Rattus norvegicus: one gene and its partners. The protein of the gene in region 3 interacts with the protein of the main gene of each other region in a biochemical or structural test. Links are inferred from orthologs where the notes say so. Each region holds a gene or a part of one and is shown on either strand. Other genes may lie near its edges. The genes, in order: Dusp10, Mef2a and Mapk14.

The links.
Region 1: the proteins of Mapk14 (region 3) and Dusp10 form a complex in vitro, tested with the Homo sapiens proteins (2 studies listed by BioGRID, with this or other methods). The link is inferred for Rattus norvegicus from reciprocal best matches to the Homo sapiens genes MAPK14 and DUSP10.
Region 2: of the proteins of Mapk14 (region 3) and Mef2a, one has a biochemical effect on the other in vitro, tested with the Homo sapiens proteins (2 studies listed by BioGRID). The link is inferred for Rattus norvegicus from reciprocal best matches to the Homo sapiens genes MAPK14 and MEF2A.

The regions. Positions count from the first base shown.
Region 1 is NC_086031.1:98,144,505-98,148,696, forward strand, and holds the start of Dusp10 (dual specificity protein phosphatase 10), read left to right. Parts: upstream 1-1,388; 5' UTR 1,389-1,503; intron 1,504-3,537; 5' UTR 3,538-3,578; coding exon 3,579-4,192. UniProt on the Homo sapiens protein: Protein phosphatase involved in the inactivation of MAP kinases. Has a specificity for the MAPK11/MAPK12/MAPK13/MAPK14 subfamily. It preferably dephosphorylates p38.
Region 2 is NC_086019.1:130,263,127-130,266,663, forward strand, and holds part of Mef2a (myocyte-specific enhancer factor 2A), read right to left. Parts: intron 567-3,537; coding exon 440-566; intron 1-439. UniProt on the Homo sapiens protein: Transcriptional activator which binds specifically to the MEF2 element, 5'-YTA[AT](4)TAR-3', found in numerous muscle-specific genes. Also involved in the activation of numerous growth factor- and stress-induced genes.
Region 3 is NC_086038.1:6,749,843-6,754,162, reverse strand, and holds the start of Mapk14 (mitogen-activated protein kinase 14), read right to left. Parts: upstream 2,805-4,320; 5' UTR 2,485-2,804; coding exon 2,369-2,484; intron 1-2,368. UniProt on the Homo sapiens protein: Serine/threonine kinase which acts as an essential component of the MAP kinase signal transduction pathway.

The DNA of each region.
Region 1 (4,192 bases), on a different chromosome or scaffold from region 3:
TTCACATTTTGGTGGTCTTCTCTGAGCTAGAAGGGGGTAGGGTATAAAAAGCTCTATTGCTTTAGGATTCTTTGATGCAACTTCGTCACAGTTCATCTGGGCTTTTCCACTCCTTTGAATTCCAGAGTCACTCTTTTGCACCTTCCCTGATACTTTTCTGGCAAGGCGCTGGCAGGCTTGCCCAGCTTCCCACTTCTCTTCAGCGGACACATGCCACGACCATCTACTCCTCTGATGGACAAAGTTCGGGGAGCCGGGAGAGCTGGCGTGGGCCCTTCCATGCTCCTCAACCGCCGCTCATTCTGGCTGTACACCCCGAGCTCCGGCTCCTTCCCTCCAGCGCTTGCTGTTCCAGCCTGGCGCTCCTTGGCTCGCCGAGGGCCCTGCGCCACTGGGGGCCGGGGGCGGCCCAGCACCGGGGGACGGATGTATTGCGGGTTCCAAAACAACACGGCAGGGGAGGCGGCCGAGGAGGACACTGAGACTGGGGTGGGAGGAGGAGGTCGGTGCCGGGGCTGAGGGGTTTGAGGAGAGTTCGGAGGGCCCGGCCACGCCCAGCTCTGCGGGACGGCGCCCACGCTGCCGCTCAGCACGGGCCCCCACTGGCTGCCCGCACAGAGCCAGGCGTCCTCCTCCGTGTAGTTCTCTGGGGTGCAGCTTTCGGGTTCGGAGTCGGGCTCCTGAGAACAGACTGGGGACGGCGGAGGAGTGACAGGGGCACAGAAGTAGGGGAACAGAAGCACCGCGCGCAGCCGCCGCGCAGGAGAGCAGTAAGGTAGCCGGAGGGGCAGCGACATCTGCGGGCCGGGCCAAGCGGGGCTACGGGGAGGCCGGCCCTGTGCACGCTCACGTCCCGCGCGGCGCAGCTACAGCCATGGAGGGACCCTGTTTCGAGTCGTCTCTGGCCTCGGGAAAGTTGGACGGGCACTCTGCCTGGAATCAAAAGGTGGAAAGGAGACCCCGTGAGGCTGTGTCCGCACCAGGGGGCAGGGAAGGGTCAAAAGAACCAGTTTCAGCCAGAGCGACCAGAGCAAGCCATTGACACTTCAGTCCCGGGAAGGGTTAACCGCGTCCAGCTGCCTAGGTTTACATGTAAATAGAGAGCCGCTGCTCCAAGCGGGCCCGGGCTAGCACTTTTAAGTTTTTGATTGGTTGCCAATGACATCACCACCCGCGTTCTAACACACCAAACCCACAAGCGCGTCCGAGCCGGCCTCCATCCCAAGGCGAGGCCTCGCCCCTTTCTCCACCCTCCTTGGCCTCCTATTGGTCAGAGACCACTGTGATGTAGCGGGCGGCTGTCTCTGGGTCCTCACTGGCGCATTGTGCTGTCGCTCGGAGTCAGCCCCGCCTCCTCCAAAGCTTACATTTACGCTGTAGCAAAAGAGAAAGTAACTCTGTGTTGCTGCTGGGGATCAATGAAGCTGAGTGAATGGGGGCGCACTGCGCGAGCGCATAGCTGAAGCGGGCGCCAGATGGTAGAGGGCTACGCTTATTGATGAAGTAAGTGGAAGACATTACGGTCACTCAGAGCTGGAGGGCGGAAGGTTTTGTGTGTGTGTGTGTGTGTGTGTGTGTGTGTGTGTGTGTGTGTGTGTGTGTGAGAGAGAGAGAGAGAGAGAGAGAGAGAGAGAGAGAGAGAGGGGACTGAGACAGAGAGAGATAGACAGAAACAGAGACAGACCCACATCAGGCAAGGAAGATCCTAAGATTTAGGTTTTTGGGTCTGTTTGCCCTGGAATGAAGGGGGAAATGAGTTTTGGTTTGGTTAAGGTGCTTTATGGCAGTTTTCAAAGCCCAAGGCTTTGCTGATGCTCTGTGGTTGCATGGAAGAGAGATGCTACGTACCCCAGGAGTGGGGAATTTTTTCTTCAGTCCATGTTAGTGATGGAAGGGAGATTAGCAAGAAAGCGGGTAGGGGGGTAGTGCTATTTTTTTGTGGGAGGTTTCCCGGGCCAAACCGGATGGGTTTGGAGCTATCTGCTGCAAGGATGCAGATCTCCGTGCACTCTGCCTGTGTGCGAGCAGCACAGTGTAGAGGTACGGGTCCCAGCCTGTGTCTCTGGAAAGTCGTTCCTGGGTCCCCCTCCTAGGGAATGGGCTACTGATCCTGGATGTCCCTACCAGGTAGCACAATAGCAAAGACTTTGTCTGCATTTATGGTCCAGCCGAGACACAGTTACAGTTTCTGGAATAGTACTCGCTATGAAAAAAAAAAATACTACGCAAAGGAGGCAGGGAAAGAGGGAGGGAGGGATCCTTTGCTCCCAACCAAAGGTGGGTGAGAGAAACCGGAGTCAGTGGGGATATGCCTACACGGGTGGGTACGTGCTCCTGGGTGCGCGTGTGTGGATTTTCGCTGGTGACAATTTGGCTCGGTCTCAGAGAACAGTGCCGGTCATGAATAGACCGATGATTCTTGATGTTTTTCCAGACAGCTCTTAAAGTTCCTTTAGATGAGTGGCTTTTGCTTGGGGTTTGATTTCTCTATTAGACGAGTCAGAATTGCTATGTTATAGAGTGGCCTTCTGCCTGGGGGGAGGAGGTAAGTGACCCATTGCAGGCACCCTTGGAGGAGGCAGAGGTAACCCCTGTGGGCACTACTTCCTCGCTTCCCAATTAGCCTGTCTGTAGTAAAGGGACAAGTGAGGTGGCTCTCATCTTTGCTGTTTCCAAGAAGAATATCAGTACAGGACTGAGACATTTTTTACAAGTTCCCACTCCCATGGAGATGTAAAGTCTGCACTGCACTACCCAGGTGAAACTCAAGGGCCCCCCCTTTTTGCATAGGGGCACAGCACAGAGAGGGGTAAGGACAAGTGGGGTCACAGAGGAATGGGTCATGGGCCAGTTTCGGTTGGAGTTCGCAGACCTGACTCCCTTGGCCACTTGGTTTTTGGACAGTTATTCATAGTATAAGGGGAGCATGCAGCTTGATTTGATTTGGCAGAGGCTAGTGTAAGCTTTGAATAGGACGATGTTGAGCTTTTCAAAGGACTCGCCAGAATGGAAGGCACGATTAGCTCCTAGCCATGGAGATTGACATAGGAAGACACATTCCTTCAGATTTGCAGAAGGTTGACATCCAGCCCCTCATGTAAACGTAGTGCGTTTCTGTGCATCTCTGTGTGAGCTCTGAAAATGCTCTTGCCTGTCTCTCTGCCTTGGCTCTGGGGAAAGGAATACAGTAGATGCCAGGGTGGACAGATTCGTCCATCACAGGTCAAGTGGACTTCTGTGCAGGAGAGGAGGCTCAGAAGAAACCTAAGAGCCTCCCCGTCTGCCTTTAGTGCTTTCGGTCCTCTGCGCTTTTACCTTCACTGAGGCTGAACTTCGATGCAGGCCCACGAAAGTAGGTCTCTTAACCATTTCTGACGTCACGTCCGACTTTAAACTTTGGCTTAGCATCAGGATGGATGGGGTCCCTCAGGCATGCATCCTCTCTGAATATATCAAAGAGGATTTTTAGCCCGGGGATTGGATGAGACTGGCGCCCGTGTCATGTGACTGTTCTTTCTTTCTTCCTCTTCTCCACAGACTCTTGAGTTCTTCTTGAATCGCCAGTCTTCAGCCTACTCATGCCTCCGTCCCCTTTAGACGACAGGGTAGTAGTAGCACTGTCTAGGCCTGTCCGACCTCAGGATCTCAACCTTTGTTTAGACTCCAGCTACCTGGGCTCTGCCAGCCCAGGCAGCAATAACCACACTCCTGTCATTGCCACAGCCGTCGTGACCCTCAAGGCTGCGAATCTGACGTATATGCCCTCATCCAGCGGCTCTGCCCGCTCCCTGAATTGCGGATGCAGCAGCACTAGCTGCTGCACTGTGGCAACCTACGACAAGGATCATCAGGCCCAGACTCAAGCCATCGCTGCAGGCACTGCCACCACTGCCATAGGAACCTCGACCACCTGCCCTGCTAACCAGATGGTCAACAACAATGAAAATATAGGCTCTTTAAGTCCATCGGGCGGGGTGGGCAGCCCCGTGTCAGGGACTCCCAAGCAGCTAGCCAGCATCAAAATCATCTACCCCAATGACCTGGCGAAGAAGATGACCAAATGCAGCAAGAGTCACCTGCCCAGCCAGGGTCCTGTCATCATTGACTGCAGGCCTTTCATGGAGTACAACAAGAGTCACATCCAAGGAGCTGTCCACATTAACTGTGCAGATAAGATCAGCCGGCGGAGGCT
Region 2 (3,537 bases), on a different chromosome or scaffold from region 3:
GAGAATGCATAAGCTTGCTGTCCTCTTCTCCAAAGCAAAGGAGAGAATGCAGATGAGCCTAAATGTTTTCAGCTCCCTTTCCTCAGAAAGCAAACTCAGAGATCATGCTGGGACACAATGGCTTATTCATCTGGCAGTGAGTGAGAAGGGAGCCTGCAGGTGCCATCTGCATTGTAGGGTTCCCTTGGTACCATCAGAGACTCTCCACATTTAATAAGAAAAGTTTTGCTCCACAGATCCCTTCAAGGAGCGCCTGGTTCCTCAGCACCCACACTGCTATCTAGAGCTCTGTTAAGAAGACACTCTCTCCTGACCCTTGTGTGAACATAAGCGAGGGTCATGGCAGGGCTTGTTCCTGACAGCCCACAAAGTCAAAGAGGACTGACACAAGTATGGGCAGGCCAAGTGCAAAAGATCAGGAAAATTCCCAGTTACTCACACTAGAGAGCTGAGGGCCGCTTGTCCTAGATGGTGCTGCTGCCAGGCTGAAGCCTGCCCCAGAGACAGCATTCCAGGGGAAGTAAAGCCTTGCAGGGCGGACAGGTCAGCGCTGGTCAATGAGTAATCTACAAAAGAAGGATATTATTACTACACAGATAAATATACCTGGCCCTTGGGAAAAGATAGACACTGGAACACTGTATTGAACCTGCATTGACAGGCGTTGATGCTCAGCAGGACAGGAAGGACGAACCATTTCTTGCTGAACGAATACACAACACAATCAACTACATTTGCTTCAGGAGCTCCCCGACTGCACATGTCACCTCAAATTCATGAACATCTTTCTATGACATACAAGTCATTTTCTACGAATGCTTCAGTCACAATTACTGTGACCAAGGCTTAGGTTGTTAGATACTGCTTACATGTACTTACTTTAATTCATCATCAACACAGGGTTTCCATTTAGTTCTGAAGAAAGGAGGCAGAGACTGCTACTTTTAACTTTTTTCTCATGTTTCAAAAAAGGTGTTTAAAGCAGTTGGTCCTCTAGCCTGATGTCTACTCTAGTAACCCTTCCAGTCCATAATTCTCTCTTGGCTTCTTGGCCTGTCCAGAGACCCACTTGACCATCTCCATAAACACCTTAATTCTGGCATAACCCAAACTGAACTCATGTTCTCAAAGCTGTCTTTCCTTTCTTGATAAGTTGCACCAACATACCCAATGGCTCATGCCAAGAAAAACCGAGTGTTCACATTATTTCTCTGCTGCATGCTTAACCTGAGCTATCAACAACTCTAGTCAATTCTACCTTGCTGTCCCTTTAGCTTGAGGAGGTTCCAATGTAATCTAATACTCTGGTCTAAGCCACCAGTAAACCATTACTTGGACCACTAAACAACCTTTCTACGACCTATTGGCACTCACTTAAAAGACAAGACTTGTTTTTATCATTTTAGTTATGTGTCTGGGTATCTGTACACATGAGTAAAGGTTCCCACAGAGGACAGAAGAGGGTGCTGGACTCCCCTGGAGCTGGAGTTACAGGCAGTTATAAGCTGCCTAAAGTGGGTGAGGGGTCCAAACATGGATCCTCTGCAAGACTAGCACCAAGTCTTAACCAAAGAGCCATCTCCTATGACCACTCGGCCATTAGAGCCAAAACTGACATGTCTGAAAACAACAATATGATCGTAATGCTCTGCAACATACCCAACAAATCCCACTCTTCCAGCTCAACTCTCACTGCCCTTCGTGTGACACTCACCTTGCTCTGGCTGGTGGCCTCCTGCCTATGTCCGTGCTGACACAATAGGAACAGGACTTTCCCAGTGCTAAGGGTCTTTCTTATGGCAGACCTCAGTTCCACTACAAGACTACACACTTTATTTACAGGGCCTGCCAGGGCACCTGTCAGACGTGCTAATGCTTTTTAAAGCTGGAGTGATGTTACTGAGGGCATGAGGAAGTGTCCATGAGACCACAGGCTATTTTTGAAAGTTGCTCCTTTATTCATATCTTTACTTACTGCCTGGCATGGTGGACTTGACACTAAGAATCTACAGAAAAAAAAAATATACACAATAATATGGGAAAAGAGAAAACACAAAAGGAAACAGCTATTCTAGGGAGGAGAATGACAGTGACCTCAGATGGAATGAGACTCATGCTTAGTCATGATTTTAAGGGCGCCCGACTCCACCCACTTTTTATGTGTTTCAGTAATTCCTTGGAGACTCGGTAAAAATATATGTATGCAATATTAAAAAGTGCTTATACATATATACATTCTTTAGAAACTAATGGTGTTTTTAAAAACGAGTAGTATCACAGTAGAATTTTGAGAATGCTGGAAGGCATGCAATGAGGCACACAGAATACTGCAGTCTAACTCTGATACTCAATCCACACTGGGCCTCCTCAGCGACACGCATCTGTGTACCCAACCTCTCTAGCTCCCTTCTTTCCTAGCTTCTCAACCTCAGCACAAACTAGAAAGTCTAACAGTGCAGAACTTTCCTACAAATGCTGACCAACTAAGCTGTGTCTGCTCCTCATCTGTAAAAAAGATCTGCCCTTAACTCAAAATCTCTTCTGCAGCAAGTAACTGATGAACTCGAACAGAATTTCTCTAAGTGTTCAAGCTCTGGTCTTTTCTGAAATTAGTTCTGTGCAAGACAAACAATGGGCTACAATTCACAGGCTACTAAGCATCTGATAGACTGGAGCAGTTTGTTTTCATACAGGTACCTGGGAAGGTAAAGGTCATCCCCTAGGCTTTGCCAACAAGACCATTACAAGTTGTTTGGAAAGAACTAGCCCTGGAGTTAAAGTGCCAATCAGAGGTATAAACTGCTTGACCCTCCAGGTAGCCCCACATAGCAGTTTTAGTACTGATGCCAAAGCATTTACTCTGAAGTCTAAAATTAGGTGATCTCCGCCACAGTCCACTTCTGAGCGTCATAAAGGAGACTCTTTTTTTTTTTTTTTTTAAGATTTTATTTATAAGTGAGTACCCTGTCACTCTCTTCAGACACACCAGAAGAGGGCATCAGATCTCATTACAGATGGTTGTGAGCCACCATGTGGTTGCTAGGAATTGAACTCAGGACCTCTGGTAGAGCAGTCAGTGCTCTTAACCACTGAGCCATCTCTCCAGCCCCGCGATGCAGCCTTCTGATGACAGAAAAGGTGTTCTTTCTTTTTTTTCCTCCGTCCGTCCGTCCGTCCGTCCATCCATCCTTCCTTCCTTCCTTCCTTTCCCAGAGCCACAGGAATTTGGCCCAAATGGGGAGAAAGTGAAACTGCATGTGCTTTCTACCTGTCTTAGAATGATAGACCCAATAGTGAACTCTCTGCTGTACACCAGTTCTTCATATGGGCCATCTGGCTAGGCTAGCAGCATCCCTCCCCATCACTGGGATCCTCCTTATCTCTCTCTGTGTCTGTCTGTCTGTATCTGTGTCTCTCTCGTCTCTCTTTGTGTGTGTGTGTGTGTGTGTGTGTGTGTGTGTGTGTGTGTGTGTGTGCGCTTCAAGACCAGGGGGTTCTCTGTAAAGCCCTGGCTGTTTTGGAACTCACTCTGTAGAA
Region 3 (4,320 bases):
CAGAAAGCTGTATGATGTATACATAATAAATAAATAAATGTTAAAAATTTAAAAAAAAAATGTCTGTGTCTCTGGAAGACAGGCAAGGAACTGACAGACTAGAAGGCAGGGCTGAAAGCAGGGTTTTTTCTTTTTTGTTTTGTTTTTTTTTGCTGCAGACCTCTTTGACCCTTATTTCAAGCGACCTGCTTTGTGCTGTGCACTGCTGCAGTGTAAGGCCAGGACTGTGCCATGGTTACATCACTAGGCCAGCACTACCTATGTTCAAGAAACTGTTTGGTAAGGGCTGGGGATTTAGCTCAGTGGTAGAGCGCTTACCTAGGAAGCGCAAGGCCCTGGGTTCGGTCCCCAGCTCCGAAAAAAAGAACCAAAAAAAAAAAAAAGAAACTGTTTGGTAGAAGTCTATCTCATTGGGAGGCTGTGCTCAATCCCATTGCAAGAAAGTAACAGCACTAGAGGAAGTGGTGTTGGTTTCACTGTGGCAAGTCACTGTAAAGCTGGCTCTTCTGCCAGGGCAGCAGTGGCCCTAGGAAACCCTGCAAGTTCCCTCTCCCAGAAGCCCTGAGTTCTGCTCCATCCTTCCCAAGCATCCAAATGGGGACAAAAGCCTGATGCTGTAACAGTGAGCAATGAAGACTGGAGATACTGAGGGAGCTGGTGAGTACTAGAGAAACAAACCAATCACAAACACGGGATGTAAATTATTGACATCCCCTTTAAAATGCAAACTGCCAGTCTGTAAACTTGGGGGAAAGAGGTCAGGGCTGGTGCTATCAGCAGCACAGCCTAGGCAGCTCCAACGAGCAAACGCAATATGATCTGTTGCCGGACATGGTTGCACAATCGCAATTACCAGGAAGATTCTACCAAACAGGAAATTCACGATGTGACTTTAAGTAACACAGGATTCATACTTAAAGATTAACACATCCAGAAGCCTAGAATTTGTTCCAAAGGGGGGGAAAAAAAACATTTCACAGGCTCTTTCAGGGAAACGTGAATATAAATCACTAAAACGCAGAAGAGTCTAGTCTGTTGAGTCTGGTCTTTACTTTCAGATAGGGAGGTCTAAACTGACACTGAGTCCCAATAAATGAGACTATATGAATCCTTGAAAGTCCCTGACATTTCTGGAGTGGACCTTTGACTGTATAAATTTAATCTGAAACCTGCTCCCAGGGCCTTGTGTGGTAGCAAATGCCTTTATTCTCAGCGCTGGCAGGAGACAAAATTTGTTGAGTTCCAGGCCAGGCTTTGGTCTAGCCACTGAGGCTCAGGCCAGACAGGGCCATCCATAGTGAGACTCTGTCTCAAACGAACTCAAACAAAAAGCCGAAGTGTTAATGAAAGCTGAAAGGCATCGTTTTCTGCGGCCAGGTTCTCCCGAAAAACCCCCATGTGCCTCGGTGCTTACAAGCTTAAAGCCCCCTGCAAATCTTCTAAGGGGCTTAAAGAAAGAAAAGCATCCCAATTAAAAACCATTTACAACTCCAGCACTCGGTCCCACCTTTTTGATCTTTGAGGGGCGCCCAACAGATCAGAACCACTCTGGCTCCGTATGGAAAACTGGTTTTGTCAAACAATACTGAACTGAGCAGCGCTGTGTGACTAAGCTGAGAGCTGGAGCGTCCTTGCAGGCACTGCCACCCTCCCTCCCCGAAAAGGAAATACGCTTTCAACCGAATCGGAAACACACCACGGCAAGCTGGCACCCCGCGGTCCCCGAGATAAAGTCGGTATTATTTTAAGCCCTTCGGGGTGCTGCTAATTCAGGTGCGAATCCCAAAAGAACGTTTCCCGATTCTGGGTTTTTCGACCGAAGCTTGCAAAAATGGTTAAATGGGAGGGAAAAACTGAGAAAGAGAAAAAAAAATTCCGGGAAAGGGAGCGCTTTTTCTTGCAAGTTTCGTTCAGGTGACCGCAGTCCCCGGGTCAGGCTTTGACCTACTGCTCCTCGCCGGAGCTGCGCCCAGCTCGCCCGCTCCCCGGGGCAGGGCTCCTGCGTGCCAAGTGGCGGTACCCGGAGGCAGGGTCCAGAGGCCGCACGGCTGCAGAGGGACCCCCGGGAGGAACGATCTTGCGAGCATGGAGAGCACAGGGTGGAGCCCCATCACACCGCGCCCACGGCTGACCCGATCCCGCACACGGTTCCCCACCCACCTGAGTGTGCAGGGCGAGGGGTGCAGGACACGTCCCGCTCCAACTGCCCCCTGCACCCCCAAGACACGCCCGCAGGAGAATTCCTGCCGCTGGGCGCATCGCTGAGCTGTGGGGACAGGCCTGGCGCTCAGGCATGCAGGGCCACCCTGCTTGCTCCACCACGTTCCCTCCCACCCCCGCCCCCAACCCCAAGCCCGGCGACACTCACCACACCGAGCCGTAGGCTCCCGAGCCCACCGGGGACAGGTTCTGGTATCGCTCGGGCACCTCCCAGACGGTCTTGTTCAGCTCCTGCCGGTAGAACGTGGGCCTCTCCTGCGACATCTTCCAGCGGCGGCAGCGCGGCGACGAGGTGGCCGAGCGAGGGCCCCTGCCTGCAGCCGCACGCTCTCCTCTGCGCCCTCTCGCTCGCCCGCGGCAGACCCGACCCCGCGCCCGCGCAGGTGTGGAGGCTGCGACCCACGGCTCCTGTCAGCCGCGGCGGCACCTACGAGCCTCGGCAACGAGCGGGAGCCGGCTGCACGGTTCGACGCAGCTCCCGCCGCGGTCCCCTTGCAGCCGCTCCCTGGGGAGCGCACGCCGACGCTGCGCGACAGCCGCTCGCGCTCTAGCGCCCGCTCGGGCTCCAGTGGCCGCGATCTCCCCCCTCTCCCCGCAGGCAGCGGCCGGGGAGGCTCTAGCAGGACTCTCGCGAGAACAGCTCCGCGAGCCGAGATCTTACCCAATATGGAACCTGCCCGTGGGGCGGGGGTGCTCGAGAAGAGCGCGCGGGACGGGAAGATCTCGCGAGAAGAGAGACACGGCTCCGGGAGCTGAGGCAGGAACTCTAGGGGAGACTCTGCTCCCGGGGGGCGCCGAGGGTGGGGGCGGACCGCAGCGTAGGCCGCGCGCGCCTCTCTGTGGTCGGACCGGCGAATGCCCGGCGCCGTGGCGGAAAACCACTGGGACGGCGTCGGGGGGGGGAAAGAGAGCCAAGCGGTCTTTGAGCTCCGAGCCACCTGCTCACCGGAGCCGGCGATTTCCAAGAAAGATTTGCAAGAGCAGACTGGCCCTGTCCAGAAAGCTGTTGCGTTCCCATCCGCTCAAGGACGCGTGGCTTATCTCGGGACGCTGATGAAACCTGTCCCCCTCCCCACCCAGGCAAACATTAACCCGGTCTCAAAGCCCAGGCTCTCCCTCCCGCCGGACGCTCCTAGCAGCTTCTAAATGTCCTCACCAGAAGAACCACCGTGGAAGGTGTAGGAGGAGGTTCCAGGGACCCACTAGGGAGTCCGATGCACAAGGTCAGAGGTGGACGTCAGGAATGGCCACTTTGAGGCTGAGACCTGCGTTTGCAAGGCCCTGGGTTCGATACCCATGACTGGAAGGGAAACACACTCTCTCTCTCTCTCTCTCTCTCTCTCTCTCTCTGCAGGTAGGTCATTCCATTTCAGGAAAGTTTCTCATTTATTTTACTTATTTAGATGTACACATCCTGTAATGCCAGCGTTTGGAAAGACCAGGAGACCCGTCTCATGTATTTGATTTTATTTATTTACTGAATTATTTAGATTTATACAGCCTGTGATTCTAGCATCTGGAAAGACCAAGAGACCCTTCTCATATATTTGATGTATTTATTTAGATTTACGTAGCCTGTAATTCCAGCGTTTGGAAAGACCAGGAGACCAGCCTCTGCTATATAGTGAGTAGTTAAGAGACCTGCCTGGGCTGTTATGAGACCATATCTGGAACACCCCAAAGCCCATGACTCCGGTTCGAGACCGACTCCTGCCAATTTAGAACCATCCAAAATTTAGAAATTTAAAGGAAAAATTGGGAGAATTTTAAGAACTTAAATTGAGGGAGCTGGAGAGATGGCTCGGTGGTTAAGAGCACTGACTGCTCTTCCAGAGGTCCTGAGTTCAATTCCCAACAACCACATGGTGGCTCACAACCATCTGTAATGAGATCTGATGCCCTCTTCTGGTGTGCCTGAAGACGGCTAAATAAATCTTTAAAAAAAAAAAAAAAAAGAAGAAAAAAAAAAAAGAACTTAAATTGAGAGGATTTTAAAGACATAATTCATGAGAAATTTAAAGAATCCACGCCTTTGGAAGTTTGGGGAAACGACGAGGGCTTCGGACATTTATTAAGACAAGTCTGTTGAGCTTCCTTAGG